4 linked regions of the Macaca mulatta genome follow. The protein of the gene in region 4 interacts with the protein of the main gene of each other region in a pairwise test. Links are inferred from orthologs where the notes say so. Each region holds a gene or a part of one and is shown on either strand. Other genes may lie near its edges.

Region 1 (4,051 bases), on a different chromosome or scaffold from region 4:
AACCACTCATAGACTGCTAAGTGTTCAAATAAGGCAAACGCCAACCTGTAACCAATCCAGCTGTTTCTGTACTTGACTCCCGATTTCTGTACCTCATTTCCCTTTTTCTGTCTAAAATCTTCCACCACATGGCTGTGCTGGAGTCTCTGTGAATCTGCTGTGATTCTGGGGGCTGCCCAGTTTGTGAAATCATTCGTTGCTCAATTAAACTCCTTTAAATTTAATTCAGCTTAAGTTTTTCTCTTATAACTGGTAAACAACTGGAGACCAGGTAGGGTATAAATGCTTTATTTATCGGCTTAGTCTCCACCTTCGAAGTGACAAAGATTCTCTGCTTGGCCAAACTTCAGGCTCCTGAGCCTTCTCCTAGGCCCATCTGTGCATCTTCTTGTAAAACTCAGTTTCAGCAAAGAACCTTGTTAAGTCAGTATAGTAAGAATCCCTCACCCTTGATCAGGTTCCTCATCCTCCACCACCCCCAGGTGATGTCTGTTATCCTGGCCTGTCTTCATCTAGAATCCTGTTGTGTTGGTTTAGCCAGAATCTCCCTTGTCCCTGACATTTCCTCTTAGTAATTTTCCATCCACTGACCGACTCCCACCCCTTGGCTATAAATTCCCACTTATACTGTATTTCTATTTGAACAGGTAAAGGAGAAGGGAAGAGTACGTAGTGCACACTCAAATGCCTTATCCTCCAAAAATCACTCAGGAATCATTAGCCTTAATTTCCCAGCTTTTGTCCTTTACACAGTCACAGATTTGTCTTGGCTTATAAACGCTGTCGGTCTTCCCTGCTGAATTGGAAACTCCTTGCTCACAAAATGATTCACCCCCATTCCTAGAACGGGGCTTGGCAAAGCGTAGGCTCCCAGTAATGAATGAATAGATTTGTGGAAGAAAAGGTTTTTATTTCATCTGTTACTACAATGGTCAACAACAACGACAAAAACCACTTAAAGTTGGACAGACCTGCAACCGGCTCTCAAAAAGTCTAGAACAGCGCACTACGCCCCGCCCATTGGCGAGAAACGGAAATACATGCTTTCCAGAAAACCGGAAGTGCCTGGTCACGCCCCGCGCATGCGTGAATCGGCGCAGCTCACGCTTCCTACAGCCCATCATCCAGCGAGAAAGCAGGGAGTCTTCGGTAGAGGCAGCCGGGACCGAGGCAGCCGGGACCCAGCCAGCCCTGAGCCTGGCGCATGCGTCCTGGTGTGTCCACGCGCAGTAAGGAGGGGCGAAAGGGCTTTTTTTTTTTCTTGCTCCCGCCTCTCTTCTTCCCCCACCTGCCACGTACAGAGCCCGAGTTCTCGCTAGGCTTGTTGGGTCAACGCGATTGGCCGAGGCCCGCGTGAGCCTGCGAGCGAGGTGCGGCGGTCGCGGAGGGCAACGGAGCGGGCAGTGACCACCGCCTCCCCGCGACGCGCCAGTCCAGTGGCCTCGCGTCGGCCCATTCAGCTGAGACCTGCGGCGAGGCGGCGGCGCGGCCTCCGCAAGCCGGTATGGCCACTGGAGACGGGGGTTGCGGCCGCTCTCTCCGAGGAGGCCGGGAGACGAGGAGGCGCTGTGAAGGCCTCGCTCGAACCGCCCGGCGACTGGGGTCGGAGGCGCTGGGGAAGGGGCTGGAGGGAGGAGGGGGTGGGGGGAGGACGGAGCCGGAGGCAGGAAGGGCGGGGCTTTGCATAGGGGGAAGGGAAAGGAGGTCGCGGAGGGGGAGGGCAGAGAGGCAACCCCTGGCCGCGCTGGCCAGGAGGCGCGTCTCGGGGGCTCCGGGAGGCGAGTGGGCCAGTTAATTCCTTGGTGCAGCCTGCCTCAAAGGTTTTGGATTGAGAGGAGAGGGCCTTTGGGAGGTCTGGGTTGGCCGGCGCCCAGTACCCGAAGGCGCTCGGAAGGGTGCGGAGTGGCGCCTACGGGAATAAGTTGATTGGGGTCACTGAATTGGAGCCTGGTTCCTTGGCTAAGTCAACGCTTAAGCGCCAGCTGGAGGCCCAACCTGGTTTTATAGTGATGATTCTAGCTAATTTTAAGAGTTTGCTTTGCTGGACACTAAAGTATTTGAGATGCAGTGTCTCATTTAATCATCACAAGGATGCCTCCAAATTCAGATATTGTTATTTTCATTTGGAATATGTTGAAAGTGAGCCTTCGAGGACTTAAGATCACATCGCTGGTAGTGGGAATCTTGACCGTCTTGCTACACTGCCTCTGAGGCAGGGTTTGAGGCCTGTTGCCTTGTTTAGAATAATTACAGGTTGACTTGACTTAGTATTTCTTGAAGGAAACTGCTCCCCTCAGGAGGTGCCTAAGCCACAGCCTCTGAAATTGAGCAGGGTCTTACCCTTACAGATAGCAGAACCAGAAGTATGGCCACTGAACCTAGATCCTGGTTCAGGAGGAAGGCTTTTTATATGACCTTGAGCATGTCAGATTATTCCCAGTGCTGAGAAAAGCGTTCCTGTTGGAGGGTTATATTATACAAGTTAGAGGCCGAGACATTTCTGGACTTCAGAGGGGCCGGGGCAGGGACAAGATGGGAGAAGAGCTTGTTGTAGGGCTCCTACTGGCAGTTCTAGGAGCTAGTTGTTAATACCAGTCTCTACTTTGGAAGAGAAAACGAGTACCAGAATTCTGTATATGAAGTAATGTTGGGATGGGATTTCCCCTTGAGAGGAAACTTTTGTTGCACACTTACTTTTGAGATACTTTTGTGTTTACTCTGGGGAGATGACTGCACGAGCTAACAACAGCTTTAGGAAAGAAGCACTGGTTCCTGGCCACAAGATATTTACAGTCAGTGGGAAACACAAAAAGTGAATTTGCATGCAAACACATGGAAGATAGAAAGTATACCTGACTCAATTTTTTTTTTTTTTTTTGAGACGGAGTCTCAGGTTGGTGTGCAGTGGCGTGATTCCCCCGGCTCACTGCAACCTCCGCCTCCCGGTTTCGAGCGATTCTCCTTCCTCAGCCTCCTGAATATCTGGAATTACAGGCGCGCACCACCACGCCTGGCTAATTTTTGTATTTTTAATAGAGACGGAGTTTCACCATGTTGATCGTCTGGTCTTGAACTCCTGACCTTGTGATCCGCCCGCCTCGGCCTCCCAAAGTGCTGGGATTACAGGTGTGAGCCACCGCGCCCGGCCTTCAAATTTTAAATCCATTGAAATTGGGCAACAAACCCGTACCCCAGTCAGAAGGACATACCATCAATTATATTCAAAGCTGGAATTTTTTCTTAATTAGGCATGTGTCTGACGGAAGTCACTTCTAGCTCCATAAAGAAGGTATAGTGTGAGGATCGGATGTAAAAACTGATCTATATGACAGCTTTCTTCTCCCATACTTCAAAAAATTTAAAGTCTTTAAATACTATATGTCAGGCACTTTTCTAGGTGCTGCTGGGAATAGATAATACCAGCTTACTGAAGCTAAGCACTGGGTCCTTTTACATTATTCCTGGTTTACACTTCTTGTAGAAAGGAGAAGGTAACAAATACATTGATTTTTTGAAAGATCTTTATTACTCTTAGGCTGCAAAGCAAACAAGATGGAATATTTACCATCTTGGTGAAATAATTATACTTTAGAGCTTGGCACATAGTAGGTATTTAGAAGTAATTCCTGAATGCAGAAGGCATTGCAGAAGGCGAAGAGTTGATTGTATGGAGATTTCTGTTAATCACTGTCTTCATGAGAAGTCCATTGTAAGAACTGGCAGATAAAAAACTAACTGTATTCTTACTTTGCGTTAAGATAAGCATGGCATCTCTAGAGTGGAATGCAGTTCACTCTATTCTGCATTGACCTTAAAGTGTTATATTTAGTTTTAATGACCCATTTCATTGAAGATTTATTAATAAAATATCTGTTCAGAGCATGGTGAGGGGTCTAGAGATACTAATTTAAGGACTAGTTAGGTGAAAGGACGAAGGGTATTTATATGAAGAATAGTAGGGCATTAATATATAATATTCATATAATAGGATTCATGGAAACTTTTTTCAAGTACTTGAAGGGTTGATCTGCTGGGGGAGTAGGTGAGTGCT
Region 2 (4,265 bases), on a different chromosome or scaffold from region 4:
ACTGTGCACTTGTCTTAGTCACAGTTTTGCTAAGCCCACAAGCTAAGCCTAGCCTAGCCAAAGTGAGTGAAAAACAAACATTACTGGACAGCTTCTTTGAAAATGGGGAAAACCCAATGATGAGACAACAGAAGACTCTAAAACTGCTAACAAAAATAAAGCCACATTTAAAGGAAAATGCCAAGAGTCCTACTTAAATTACAGGTTCACTGCAACAGGTGGTTCACATTCTCCAACCCTGCTTTGTATAATATGTGATGATCGACTATGCAATGAAGCCTCGAAACCTGCAAAACTGCTTTGCCACATGGAGACCAAGCACCCTGCGTTAAAAGACAAGCCTTTGGAGTTTTTTTGTTTTGTTAAAACAAACAAACAAACAAACAAAAAAACAGAAACCATGAAAACATGAACACAAAGAACACATAGAAGCAATTATTGAAGGCCACCACGTCATCAAATGTGTCTGCACTGACAGCATCAGTATATATTACAATGTAACAATAATAGAAATAAAGTGCACAATACATACAATATGCTTGAATCATCCTGAAACCGTCTGCCACTCGACCCTGGTCCATGGAAAAATCCTCTTCCGTGAAACTGGTCCCTGGTGCCAAAAAGGTTGGGGACCACCGGTTTATCCAGGGTCATCCAGGTTGGAGTAGGGTCAGGAGATATGGGGAAATTTAGGTCAAAGAATTCAAAGTTACAAACATGTAGGATGAACAAATGGGAAGACCTAATGTACAACATGAGGGCTATAGTTAATGATCGTGGTATTCAGGATTTATGCTAAATGAGTAAATTAGAGCTGCTCTTGCCCCAAGGGGGGAAATGTGTAATTATAGGAGTTGATGGATATGTCATACGCATAACTTAAATACAGACAATAAAAACTATTTTAGTTTAAAAAGGAACAATATTTATTAAAAAATAAGGTGAGCTCTTAAAAACATTTAAATAACTGCCTAAAAAAATAAAAAATAATATCACATAATTTAATAGAAGGAAAGAAAGAGCAAGACAGCAAGAAAGAAAAGGCACCATAAAAAAAAACAATTTTGACCACTCCTCATTTGTAGTCTAAGCTGCCTCTGCTTCCTTGCGTTGAAAAGCCACGGGCTTCCGAGGGATGGAGGTCAAAGTCAGAGTAAAGAAAGTTCCCGGGGGAGGCCACTCCCCAGCTGATGACTTTCCAGTTCCAGTTAGTGACAGAGTCCCAGTTCCTCTCCTTAACCACCGGTCAAAAGTCTCTGGAGTCTCTCCAATGAGCAAGAAAGCAAGTCGGGGGTAGGGGAGGGGCCTCACAACTGGTGGTGGGTGCAGTCCCTCCTCCAGCTTCTTCATCCTGCAATAGTCCCGCGGGTCCCCCGGCGCGAACGCGGGAACCAGGAAAAGGAAACCGCGTTGTGTACGTAAGATCCAGGAAACTAAACCAGTAGCCGCGGCTGTTGGCGCAAGGGTTACTCGCAGACCCTGTTCCGGCTGATTTCCGAGAAGGTTGCGCAGTAGCCGTGCCTTGCAGTCTAGAGGCGCAGGAGAGGAAGCCACCGCCTGACCCCGGCTCTCTAGACCTCGGCTCTCTCGGGAGCGGAAACAGCGGCAGCCACAGGTGCGCGAGCGGCTTTCTCTGCCGCCTCCCCGGGGCTCGGGCGCGAGAACTGCGCGGAGCCTGCGCTGGGGCCAGGGCCGGGATCAGGTGTGGGGGCCAACTTACGGGGAACGGGCGCGAGGGCCAGCCGGTTGTGTTTGCTGCTCTGGGGGTGGAGGATGTGGGGTGAAGGCTGGGGCCAGAAATGCAAGAGACCTCTGAAAGGGACCCTGTAAGTGGAGCAGATGCACGGCAAGGGGCCCCAGGCGGCCCAGCGGCACCTGGGCTCACCCAGAATCATTCGAATGAAAAGGGGTGTCCTGCCTGAAAACGCCTCGCGGGGCTCGGCTTCCCCTTAGCTACACTGCTCTACAGGCAGAGAGCGGCGCTGAATCCTGGGCAGAGACTGGGCTCGGGAGCATGTGCCAGCATAGTGGGGCTATTAGAAGGGACGGTTAATACAGCCTGCAAGCTGGCATTTATCAGTAAGTATTCACTGAAGTCCGCCTGGAGCCCACATCTATGCTAAACCCTCTACAATACTAGCTTGGAAAAGATAGCGGCGGTATCTAGCACGGTTCCTAAGACCATTAGCTCCAGTCAGGCTCCCCGACTTGAAATTTGGCCTCTACTGCTTCACATCTGTGGATTGTCAGCCACTTTCTTAATATATATTCTTTCCATTGCCTCATCTCTGAAATTGTGTAACTATTAAAAGAGCTACAGAGTATTATATGTGTTAATGTAAAGTTCTTAGAGCAGTGCCTGGCACTACAGAAAGTACTCAGTGAAAGTGAGCTTTTATTATTTTAAATATTTGACAAAGTTCCTGCTTCTCCAAGCTGACTCTCCGGTTCCCATGTGGTTTCATTCATGCACTGTTATTCCTGGAAGTCTTGGCATGGCCACTTCCCAGTTCCAGGAACAGGCAGTCGTTGTTTTTTTTCTGGCTTATCACATTGAGATACATGGTTACTACAAGTGACACTTAAACGTGTCAGGCAGTTTGGGGCCTCCTTTCTTGAACTTTTCCTAAGAGCAAACTTTTCCCTTAATGCCACCCTGTTTACAACCATAGTAGGGCTTTGAACAACGAGAAAATGCAGGGAAATGAAAGACATATAAAGGGAAATGAATGGATTTCTGCAGTTGGATAGCAAAGTGGCATGTGAAATAGCTGGTTTATAGATCAAACTGCCTTTAGATCTGTAAAGGAGCTTAGAGTACAGGTGGAGAGACATCAAATGTGTGCGAGCAGACGCTTATGTACCTCTCCGTCTTCATCTCTAAGAATGTCTCCCTCTTCTGCTCTGTAACCTCACTGGTCTTCCTTTCCTTGAATGAGGCATGTTCCTCCAGCTCAGGAATTCTATCTATGAAGTTCCCTGTCTCTATAATGCCCTCCAACACCCCACCCACCATACCTCCGTAGACTAGTTGATTTGAGATTTCCTTCAGCTCCCAGTCTGACTTTTCTTAAACCCCCTACCACTGTTTAAGTTAGTGTCCTGTAACCCTTTCTTGTAGCAACATTAATTTTATTGATAGCACTTAGAGTGTTTATAATAATCTATTACATTCTTAATTGTCTGTCTCCCTAGTGTCTAGGTATTGTGCTCTAGTGCCTGGTATAGTGCTTTGCATGCTCTATGCCTTCAATTAATTCCTTAAAAACCACACCAGCTTTATATTTAGTGAATATTTATATAGGAAGTATTTCTATATGTATATATGTGTATCTGTGTATATACACACTCTATAGCACTACCCTGAATAGTGCTAAATTAAAAAGCCAAAACACTTTTTAGTTAATCAGAACTAACAGTTGCACTCTTCAGTTTTCCATATGTTCTTTTAATAAGTCATTAGAAAAAAATGATGTCTCCATATGTTGTCTGCTGCTGTAGCAGAATACCTGAGACTTGGTAATTTATAAAGGACAGAAATTTATTTCTTACAGTTCTGGAGACTAGGAAGTCCAACATAATCATGTGTTGCTTAAAGACAGGAATACATTCTGAGAAATGCATCATGAGGCAATTTGGTGGTTGTGAGAACATCATAGAATTTACTTACACAATCCTGGATGGTATAGCCAGCCTTCTATTTAGGCTGGGGTGGTGGCGTGGGGGGTGTTGAGGAGAGTCAGATTGAGAGCTGAAGGAAGTCTCAAATCAATTAGTCTATAGACGTGTGTGTGTGTGTGTGTGTGTGTGTGTGTGTGTGTAGTGGTGGAGGGCATTATAGACAGAGGGAACTTCACAGGTAGAAGTCCTGGGCTGGGTGTGTGTGTGTGTGTGTGTGTGTGTGTGTGTGTGTAGTGGTGGAGGGCATTATAGACAGAGGGAACTTCACAGGTAGAAGTCCTGGGCTGGGTGTGTGTGTGTGTGTGTGTGTGTGTGTGTGTGTGTGTGTGTGTGTAGTGGTGGAGGGCATTATAGACAGAGGGAACTTCACAGGTAGAAGTCCTGGGCTGGGGGTGTGTGTGTGTGTGTGTGTGTGTGTGTGTGTGTGTGTGTGTAGTGGTGGAGGGCATTATAGACAGAGGGAACTTCACAGGTAGAAGTCCTGGGCTGGGGGTGTGTGTGTGTGTGTGTGTGTGTGTGTGTGTGTGTGTGTAGTGGTGGAGGGCATTATAGACAGAGGGAACTTCACAGGTAGAAGTCCTGGG
Region 3 (4,130 bases), on a different chromosome or scaffold from region 4:
AAAACCTGAGCAAACGCATAAAAAGCAGGCTGTTAAAATGGATCATAAATCTTGCATCACTCACTGGAAAACCACTCAAAATAAATGTCTCCGCGACATGGCCTCTGGGGAGGGCACTCTGTGTGGCTCGTACCACCCTGGTGACAAACCACTTGAACCTGGGTGGTCATCTGATGACATTTCACAGATGATGCACAGAGCCATCTGCACCCACTGTGGTCAACATTGAGGACGTTTTAAGCTAAGATTTGCCAAATTGTAGCCTACTGGATTCCAGGTTCTCTTGACATCTTTTTCCAGTAGCCATGTCTTGCACTTCCCAAGTATAAAGGAACCGAGATGCAAATTTAAAAAAGGAGGATTTAAGAATAATGAAAAGAGAAAAATCAAGAAAGCACAATCACTAGTGCCGATAATAGAATTTCTGAATTCCCTGAAAACAATCTATATAAATGCATGTGAAATAATACACCAGCATCTGTGGCCCACACGTCACGTATCAGGAACTGATGTCAGAATATAAGGTAAACATGTTACTGTGAAAACACAAATCCTCACAAATCATTAGGCAGTAAGGCTGAATGAAGCATCCCCCCAGGCACAGCGCAGTGAGGCAGTGTCCAGCAGCCGTAGTGCTCCCCGCGCCCCAGTCCAGTCTCTGGCAACATCAGGTACTTCCCACTAATAACGAGGAGCCTTTTAACATTTTCACAACATCTCAAAACCGACCCCTTTTCTAGCTTAAATGGCACGGATCTGGAAAGGGAAACTATACACAGAATCGGAAAAGATGACTGCCCCTGAGGGATTACAGAAAAAGCTGCAGTCAGGTGTTCAATGAAGTAAAATGTGTCCAATGATACCGCAGGGGACGGGGATCAATTGAGCTGAAACTGGCAAGAACTAACTGCAGGGAGCTCACAACACCCAAGGACCCGGATTTCCCGCCGCCTGAACGTCCAGTATTCGCACACTGATAAGAACACCTCCCCATAATTCCCCTGCCAGCGCCTCCAACACCCCCAATCCTTTCCCCAGGAATGCAGTCCCCGTGTTTGCGGCTCCTGTAACAGCCACTTCCCCACACAAGTGCTGCCTGAGCTCCCCAAGCCCTCCAACCACCACCCCCCAAGGCCCTCGAAGGTCTATTCAGAGAAGTCACCAAGATGCAGTCACCGAGGAAATTCAAGGACCTCCAACTTACCAAAAGGCTTCCGGCTGTACAGAGCTAAGCTTCCTATTCCCCTCCTAAACCTACAACCTAGTTTTCATTTCACAAGAAGCCTTTCCCTGTGCTCATGCACGCAGTTGTCAGCCGGCTTGGTGAGGCACTCCAAATAACAGCGGCAGCCACAACAGAAACCAGAAGCATCTCCACCATGAAGCAGTAATAATAGTTTGTCCTAATGATCCCTTTGTCCTTGGAAAATGAACTTCAGAAAGAAAGTTATCCACTGCGAGCAGAGCAGGCTTCTGGGTCCGGACCCAGGTCCCACGGGCCCACTCAGCGGCTTCTGGGTCCGGACCCAGGTCCCACGGGCCCACTCAGCGGCTTCTGGGTCCGGACCCAGGTCCCACGGGCCCACTCAGCGGCTTCTGGGTCCCGACCCAGGTCCCACGGGCCCACTCACCGTTGGAGAGAGCTTGCTGAAGCTCGGTGTCCGATATCACTCCACTCCTGTCTTTATCAACCCTACAACATCAAGAAGACCAAGTAAGCTGGCGATCCAAAGTTCAGGAAAAGCAAAACAAACGTCTCCTGTCAACCCTGCACTGACTCTGGAAGGCTCGGAGCCTCCTGGAACCTCCGCCTCCCCCATCCCGCTGAGGAGGACACGGGAATCAAGGAAGTGCCGCAGGAGCCCACGTCCAAGCGGGGTCTTCCCCTAAGAGGCCAATCATCTTTCTCTCTCAATCTTTCCCTTCCTTCCTCTCCTGGCCTGTCTGAATTCACATTTGCACCAGTTTCCCTTTTTCACAAACAAGATTCCCTCAGATAACTAAGGCATTCCCTGGCCATGAGTCACTGCAGTTTCGGTCATTCATTCCGTGGAAAAGCGACCGGGACAGAAGGCGACGCCGGAAAGGTCACCTGCCCCGAGCAGACGCCAGGTCGCTGCTGCTTCCTCGGCTGCTGACACTTAACAGCGCCCAGACATTCTGTCTCTGCTTTCCCCGAACAAGCACCCCTGGAGACCCTCCGCCCGGCGGCTCCTGAGGCGAGAAAAAGGGCCTAGCCCGGGAGCCGGTGGCCGCGACCTCGGGTCTGCAGCGGCTACTCTGCACCTCTGGAAGGGCCCAACGCACAGGGCAGGGACCGGGCAGGAGGCGGGGGCGGCCGCGGGAGACCCACAGGGGACGGGGACGGCCGCAGGGGACCCACAGGGGACCGGGGAGACCGCAGGGGACCCGGCAGGGGACGGGTGCGGCCGCAGGGGTCGGGGCAGGGGACGGGGGAGGCCGCGGCGGTCGGGGCAGGGGACCGGGGAGGCCGCGGAGGACCCGACAGGGGACAGAGGAGGCCGCGGGGGAACCGGCAGTGAACCGGGTCCGCGGCGGTGGGGGCAGGAGTCGGGGGCGGCCGCAGCGGAGGCGGGAGGTGCTGGGACGGTGCCAGGCCGCACCTCTGGAAGACGTTCCACAGAAAGCTCTGGTCCGGCAGCGCCGCGCCCGCAGCAGGCCCTGGGCCGGCCCCGGGGCCGGGGCGGTAGGAGTAGGCGGCCATGGGCCAAGGCGCGCGGCTGGGCTGAGGCGTCTACTGAGACGTGAGACCTCTCAGGGCGACTCCGCTTCCGGCTCTGCCGGGGGCAGGGCCTGGCGTTACCTCCACTTCCGGGGGCGCAGGAAATGCGTAGTCTCCGGGATGGTCACGGGGTCCCGCGCGGCCAATCCCCTCGCAGCTCAGTTACCAAGCAACGCCCTGGCGCCTGCGGGGCCTGTGCGGTCCGGGGCGTCTGGAGAAAGCCAGAGCTCTGGAGCAGGCAGCCGGCTACCGGTGCTGGGAAGGCGCTTGGAGAAAATGTCCGGCTCTGCGACCCGGGACGGGAAGTGATGGAGTAGGGAGTTAGTTAGCCTTTCAGTTCATGTATAAAAAGAAGTTTTGACGTGAATGTGATTCAGGCTAACAGTCGGAAACTCTGGGCGGGGCGCGGTAGCTCACGCCTGTGATCCCTGCGCTTTGGGAGGCGGAGGCGGGCGGAGCTCCTGAGCCCACCAGTTCGGACCAGCCTGGGCAGCGTGGCCAGACTCCATCCCTACAAAAATTGCAGAAAATAGTCGGGCGTGGTGGCGGGCCCCTGTGGTCCCATCTACTCCATGGGCAGAGGCGGGAGGATCGCCTGAGCCCGGGAAGTCGAGGCCGCAGGGAGCCGAGATCACTGCACTCCAGCCCGGTGGACAGCCAGACTCTGCCAAAAAAAAAAAAAAAAAAAAAAAAAGCAGGCCGTGCGCAGTGTCTGACGCCTGTAATCCCAGGACTTTGGGAGGTCGAGGCCGGTGGATCACCTGAAGTCGGGAGTTCGAGACCAGCCTGACCAATATGGAGAAACCCCGTATCTACTAAATATACAAAATTAGCCGGGGGTGGTGGCGCACGCCTATTCCCAGCTATTCGGGAGGCTGAGGCAGGAGAACTGCTTGAAGCCGGGAGGCGGAGGTTGCAGTGAGCGGAGATCAGGCCGTTGCACTCCAGGCCTGGGCAACAAGAGCGAAACTCCTTTAGGTTTAACCTGCGCCCCCGCGCTCTGCCTCAGCGCCGCCCCCGACGCCGTGCAGCTGGCAACACTGGGCGCCTCCCTGCCCGGTCCCTTCCCGCCCCTTGGTGGTGGTGCAGCCCTGTCTCCCCCGAGACAGCACTGCCTCCGTGCTGGACACGGTTCTGCGGTGGAGCCTGGAGTGCCTGTAGCACCAATCCCCGGAATTGGGAAGTGCCCAGCTTTGGGCCACTATGATCCCTGGATCTTTGCCGCCTTCCACCCCAGTCCTGTGTCCTGTGTCCTATGTCCTGTGCCCTGGTTCAGGATACTACAATTATTCTCATTATTTCGTGGGGTTTTTCCAGCTTTTCAGGTTCTTCAGTGCCTCATTCCACTAATGCTCTTTTCATCCTTGTAGCTCCAAGTGTTGTCTCT
Region 4 (5,930 bases):
CGTCCATGCAGGGGGGCTGGGTCGGCGCCAGGAGTCCTTCCCGGACCAATCCCCCGGCCCAGAGAGAGCGCCTGGAGACATTACCACTCCAGGAACTTCACCCAGTTTCTTGGAGGCTTCACACCCGCGCCCTCAGTCCTGCCATCTCCTACGCCGCAGCGGGCGCCGCCACCAGGGTAGTAACCCACTCTGAGAGTCTTTCTGGTGGTGCCTCTGACCCTCTGCTCTTCAGTTCCAGGCGACGTTTTCTCCGAGCCGCTCTGGAGACTTTGGCCTGAATTTCACCCTCACTCGCGGACTCATGTCCAAAAAATGTGGTCCAGCCCAGAAAGAGAGCCGCGCCTGTTGGTGGGGGTCGGGGGTGTTGGAGCGGCCACGGAATATGACTGAGCGCTCAGGGCCGGTTGTGAGGCCGGGGCCAGGATGCCCCAAGGCAAGGCGCTGTTCCTGCCCGGCACCAGCACACCTGCCCAGACAGGGAGAAGGTCAGAGCCTCCCCTCCAGCCCTTCCCGCTTTTATTGTTCGGAGCGACTTTAAAACGCAAATCGGGCCGGACGCAGTGGCTCACGCCTGTAATCCCAGCACTTTGGGAGGCCGAGGCGGGCGGATCATTTGAGCCCAGGAGTTCGAGATCCGTGTGGCCAACATAGTGAAACCCCGTCTCTACTAAAAATATGAAAATTAGCCGGGCGTGGTGGTGAGCATCTGTAGACCCAGCAACTCGGGAGGCCGAGGAAGGAGAATTGCTTGAATCCGGGAGGCGGAAGTTGCAGTGAGCCGAGATCGTACCACTGCACTCCAACCTGGGCGACAGAGGGAGACTCCATCTCAAAAAAAAAAAAAAAAAAAAAGGAAAATCGCACCAGCAGCTTGTTTGTAACAGTCAAACATAGGCAACAACCTAAATGTCCTTCAGTAAGGAGCTAGGTAGTGAAGAATGGTGAAGTGCACGATGGTGCGCAGTGTGCAGCGGATGGGAAGAACTAGGTCTGTTCGGGAGCGCTTCTATGGAAAGACCCTCCAAGATATAGTGAGTAAAAAAACATGTTGCAGAAAAGTACTGCAATATTGTTTTGTAAACAATACGTTTATGTAAACACACACACACACACACAGTATTGAAGAGAGATATTTTGGAAGGACACGCCTAAGAGTGGGCTGGGGGAGTGGAGAGAAGGGTGAATCTCAATTTTTATTCATTTTTTGAATTTTTTATTTTCAGTTTTTTAGAGACCGGGTCTCACTATGTTGCCCAGGCTAGTCTGGAAGCCCTGTCTTCAAGCCATCCTCCTGTCTTGGCCTTCCAAAGTGCTGTGAGATTACAGGTGTCAGCCACCACACATTAAAAAAAAAAAAAATTGCATACCTACCATATATGCATATATTACCTGTGTGACCTTTTAAAAATAAGCTTTTTTTTTTTAGAACGTCTTTAGATTTACAGAAAAAGTGTGAATACAGGGAGTTCTCATAAACCCGAGTTTTTCCTATTACTAACATCTTATATTGGTGTGGCGCTTTTGCCACAATGAATAAACCAAAACTGACGCACTAAAGTCCATATTTTATTCAGTTGTCCTTAGTTTCTACCTACTATCTGTCCAGGATCCCGTTCAGGATACCACTTTACATGTCATTTTTATATCTCCGTGGGTTCCTCTTGGCTGTGACAGTGTCTTACACTTTCCTTGTTTTTGATGACCTTGCTAGTTTTCAGGAGTACTGGTCATGTATATGGCAAGGGCCTCAATTGATTTGTGATGTTTTTCTCATGATTACAGTGGGATTAGGTGTTCTTGGGAGGAAGACCACAAGCGGTGCATGCAATCAGTATGATTTACCGCTGTCGAGGTCACCTTGACGGCTGGGTGGTTGGTCAGGTTTCTCCATGATAGTTACTGACCGCTCCCTTCCTCACATACTGTGCGTGACCTTCCCCCCTCCACCACCACTGAGTGTTGATATGAAAGAAATGTGTTTGACCTTTTCAGTGTAAAAAGTTTTCTTTACCTTAAAGAGAGTCACTAACGACGCACACGGGGCTGGAGAGGATTTAGGAAATGCCCACCCCTGCAGGAGGGCGAATGCGGCTCTGCGCTGCACCGGGCGCTGCAGGGGGTTAGGGGCGACAGAGGGACCTCCAGAGCCGGAGACGTCCTGGAGCAGCTGCGCAGCCGGAAGGGCGCTGCTGCTCGCGGGCCCGCCCTGCCCAAGCCTCATCTCGGGGCGGGGCCGCGCTCAGGCCTCGCCCCTTCCCTGCCCTTCCCCCGGCGCCTGGGGCAACCGCGCCCGCGGAGTTTTCCGCCCGGCAGGCTCCTCCTCCCGCCCCGCCCTGAAGGCTGCGGCGCCCGCGACTCCCCAGTGCCCCGAGTGCCCCGCGAGCGGGAGTGGGACACAGCGCCAGGCAGAACCCAGGCACCGCGTCCGGGACGCCCGCGGAGAGAGCCACTCCCGCCCAAGTCCCATTTCGCCCCTCGCGTCCCGAGTCCCCGTGGCCAGGTGAGTGAGGGTCCCGGGCCGGCCGGGGGCCTGGGACCAGGCGGCGGCAGTGCACCGCGGCACCGCAGGTGAGGCCCGGGGCTGCCCCGCGCCCAGCCCAGCGCGGCCCTGCTGCTTCCTGGTTGCATTACAGGCGTGGGGGTGGGGGACAGAGGAGGCGTCGGCGGGTCCCGGGCTGGCCGTGTCGGCTTGGCAGCCCCCTCAATAAGCTTCGGCGTCGGGGGCTGCCCCCTCCTGTGCGGTCGGGGTGCACTCGCCGGCCCCCCCGGGCTCAGGGGTCAGCGTCTCAGTCTGGGCTTGGGTAAGGCCGGGGGCCGTGACCCTGGGCGGAGGAGGCAACGGGTGGCTGGAGGGATGCCGGAGGCCGAGCCCCGCAGCCCCGCGGGGCCCTCCGGGGTGCGCGCGCTCTTTCAGGCAAGGCTGGGGGAGAGCAAGCAGACAAGGCTATCTTCAGGAACTTTCCTCCGTAACTGGGAGCACGCACATTCATGGGAGCTGCTACCATTGCAGTTTATTTGTAAGGAACTCTCCCCAATGTTTGAGAGAATGCGGGAGCCATCCCCGATGTTGTGCCTCCCTTCGCCCCTTCCCCAACTTTGATCCCCAGTTTCAGGAAGGGATTCCTGGACTTGTATCTCCCCATGGGTGCAGGCCAGGCCCTTAAGACTTAGAAAAGTAAAACGGTCTGTTGGTTTAAAGGAGACACGCGAAATTTGTCACCTAGAGACTTTGGAGGGGAAAAGTTAAGCCAGCCAGTGCTAGCCCAAGCTGGAAACAGTCGGCCCGGGGCATTTCTGTCTCTGCCCTCCAATCAGTGACCTCTCTGTAGAGATTGGGCGTTTGTGGTGGTTCTCCCATCTGTTCTCTGCCTTAGGCATGGAGTGGAGCTGTGAGGCCGAGCCCCTGCCCTGCCCACGCAACAGGGACTAAAGGTTTGCAGGGCATGCTCACCCTTCACTGGCTCTCTCATTGCTTTCCTCATTCCTTTTATGCGGCAGTCAACTGTTGGGGATTCCAGGAGGATTAACAGGCCCCCTTTCCTAAACGCATTCTTTGTGCTGCAAGGTGTTCCCTGACAAGGGAGGCCAGGTGAGGTGCCAGGGCAGTTTGTTGCCCTGGCATTGGGTGCCCACTACTTCAGGCTCCTGCATACCTTGCTATCTTGTCTCTGACTATTGTCTGTGCTTTGGTTTCCTCATCTGTAAAATGGGGGTAATACTAATCCCTGCCTCACAGGTTTGTTGTGAGATTCAGTGCATTCATTCATTTAATAACCATACAGCGCTCAGGTACGGACCAGTCAGAACAGGTGGTGACTGCTGTACCACACTTGTGTGTCCCAGATGGGTGTCACCCAGATTAGCCATAAAGTGTGTGAGGCAGGCCTGGGTCATAAATAATCAGGTATAAGGGTCAGTAAATAGTAGCAGTGGAAGGTTCAGCTAAAGTTGAAATGCGCTTCTCCTGAACCGTCTTTCTGGCTTAGCTCATGCTAAGCTCATGCTGTCTGTCTTCCTGGAATGCCCTCCCTCCCCGTCTGGCCCAGGATTCTCCACCCTCCTGGGAGCCATCCTGGTGCCTGCTGCCCAGCAGGAGGGATGGGATATGCTCTGAGCTCACTCAGCCCCTCCAGCACTGACTCAGTTCTCATCTCTCACCTTGTGCCTAGTGTTTGTGTGGCCATGTGGCTTATCTCTGCCCTGTCTTCTGACTCTGGAGGGTGGAGGCTGTTTCTGACTTACCTCTTGGTGGTAGCACTCAGGATGGGCCTTGCCTAATGTAGGTGCTCAGAAAATTAGTTGTCGTTAGTTGAACGACAGAGGCAGCACAGGGAAGTAGTTTCCCTGTGGTTAAAGTATAGGACCTTGAAGGCTGGATTTGGATAGGCAGAGAAATGTGGGGAGGGTGAGATGGTGATGAATTGGGACTAAGAGGTGGGAGTGGAAGCCCCATCTGATGCCTTTATGCATGATATTATAGAAAGGGCTCACCCTGGGTGGACGTATCTAGAAGGCCAGGATCGATTAGTGATGCCTAGTTCACATGATTGGGGAGGTGATGTGTGACTTGGGATGACAGGAGTGGGAGTTGAGACAGAATAGGTTAGTGTGGGTTCTTCTTGGGAACTGTAGAATAGAGAAAAGAAACTGGTGTGGGCAGGAGGTGAATGTGGAACCAAAATGCATGCTGAATGCTGGAACATCAGAGGTTCCAGGACCTTTCTGGTGCACCCCCTCCTTCCTCCTGGATTCACTCCTCCTCTTCCTCTTTTTTTAATTTTTATTTTTTGTTGAGACAGATCTCATTCTGTCGCCCAGGCTGGAGTGCAGTGGTACAGTCTTGGCTCACTGCAACCTCTGCTCCCTGGGTTTAAATGATTCTCCTCCCTCGGCCTCCTGAGTAGCTGGGATTACAGGCATGCGCCACCGTGCCCGGCTAATTTTTGTATTTTTAGTAGAGACGGGGCTTCACCATGTTGGCCAGGCTGGTCTTAAACTCCTGACCTCAGATGATCTGCCCGCCTTAGCCTTCCAAAGTGCTGGGATTACAGGAGTGAGTCACCGTGCCCGGCCTCCTCTCTCTTCTTTGCCACCGTCTTCCCCCATAAGCCTGAAGCAGTTCCTGGCACTTGGTCCCATGGGGAAGCGTGTGTGCAAGGGTGTGCTTCACCAGCACTGCCAAGGAAACAGACTTTTCACTTTCTGTGGATTTTTCTCTGCAGCACTCTCTGATCCCATGACCCCCAGAATAGTGGGAATTCTGAGTGATACCTAGATAGGAAAGCTGTTAGGATTAATGAAGAAACTGAGGTTTTCTTGGTGGGCATTTGTGCTTTTAAAGGGAATTGTTGCAATTCAGTGGAACTCTCTGATAACCGCTGAAACTGTTACACATTAGGCCTACTGATCCTGTCTCCTATAACCCATGAAATAAAGACCTGATAGTCACATAGTTGTTTGTTATTTGGGAGGATCCTAAAAGTACAGCCTGAACAGTGACCCAGACCACAGTTGGCCTTGCCCATGCTGAAGTGAGGAAGGAATGGGTGGGGGCAACCAAGAAATTGGGGGACAGAGTTCTCTGTGCTGGGTATCCTGGGACAAGCCACCCAGCCACACTGAGCCCCCCCCACACAGAACAGTTCTGGATAATAAAATGCCTGCCTGGAATGGAGAATCAGATGAGAAGATGTTTGCAAAGGGGTTTGAGATCAGTTAGGGGGTAGTGATGACAATGTTGATATCGTGGGTGTGTGACTGCCAGGAGTTGTGAAGCAGCGGGTGGAGCATGCCGTCAAAGCCTGGTTCTGAGATCTCTAGTTTTCCAGGGGCTTAGGCTCCGCCTTAGCAGAAAAGAAGGAAAGGAAATTGAGAGGGAAGTCAGATGTCCCCTGCCCCTCACACCTGGGGGTGGCTGACTTGGAGGACTT

What was found. The genes of interacting proteins can lie anywhere in the genome.
Region 1: the proteins of ANXA11 (region 4) and TFG interact in binary tests that used the Homo sapiens proteins (3 or more experiments, as listed by UniProt). The two-hybrid records come from large-scale screens. The link is inferred for Macaca mulatta from reciprocal best matches to the Homo sapiens genes ANXA11 and TFG.
Region 2: the proteins of ANXA11 (region 4) and PLSCR1 interact in a two-hybrid assay, tested with the Homo sapiens proteins (2 studies listed by BioGRID and IntAct). The two-hybrid records come from large-scale screens. The link is inferred for Macaca mulatta from reciprocal best matches to the Homo sapiens genes ANXA11 and PLSCR1.
Region 3: the proteins of ANXA11 (region 4) and PDCD6 interact in binary tests that used the Homo sapiens proteins (3 or more experiments, as listed by UniProt). The link is inferred for Macaca mulatta from reciprocal best matches to the Homo sapiens genes ANXA11 and PDCD6.

Annotation. Positions count from the first base shown.
Region 1 is NC_133407.1:182,895,446-182,899,496, reverse strand, and holds the start of TFG (protein TFG), read left to right. Parts: upstream 1-1,251; 5' UTR 1,252-1,502; exon of another isoform or gene 1,503-1,593; intron 1,594-1,682; exon of another isoform or gene 1,683-2,053; intron 2,054-4,051. UniProt on the Homo sapiens protein: Plays a role in the normal dynamic function of the endoplasmic reticulum (ER) and its associated microtubules. Required for secretory cargo traffic from the endoplasmic reticulum to the Golgi apparatus.
Region 2 is NC_133407.1:49,526,796-49,531,060, reverse strand, and holds the start of PLSCR1 (phospholipid scramblase 1), read left to right. Parts: upstream 1-1,465; 5' UTR 1,466-1,615; intron 1,616-4,265. UniProt on the Homo sapiens protein: Catalyzes calcium-induced ATP-independent rapid bidirectional and non-specific movement of phospholipids (lipid scrambling or lipid flip-flop) between the inner and outer leaflet of the plasma membrane resulting in collapse of the phospholipid asymmetry which leads to phosphatidylserine externalization on the cell surface.
Region 3 is NC_133411.1:1,373,055-1,377,184, reverse strand, and holds the start of PDCD6 (programmed cell death protein 6), read right to left. Parts: upstream 2,801-4,130; 5' UTR 2,726-2,800; coding exon 2,625-2,725; intron 1,694-2,624; coding exon 1,632-1,693; intron 1,521-1,631; exon of another isoform or gene 1,382-1,520; coding exon of another isoform or gene 1,305-1,381; intron 1-1,304. Other genes in the region: ubiquitin domain-containing protein TINCR-like, read right to left, coding at 1,305-1,381. UniProt on the Homo sapiens protein: Calcium sensor that plays a key role in processes such as endoplasmic reticulum (ER)-Golgi vesicular transport, endosomal biogenesis or membrane repair.
Region 4 is NC_133414.1:69,791,362-69,797,291, forward strand, and holds the start of ANXA11 (annexin A11), read left to right. Parts: upstream 1-2,361; 5' UTR 2,362-2,500; exon of another isoform or gene 2,501-2,568; intron 2,569-2,625; exon of another isoform or gene 2,626-2,801; intron 2,802-5,930. UniProt on the Homo sapiens protein: Binds specifically to calcyclin in a calcium-dependent manner. Required for midbody formation and completion of the terminal phase of cytokinesis.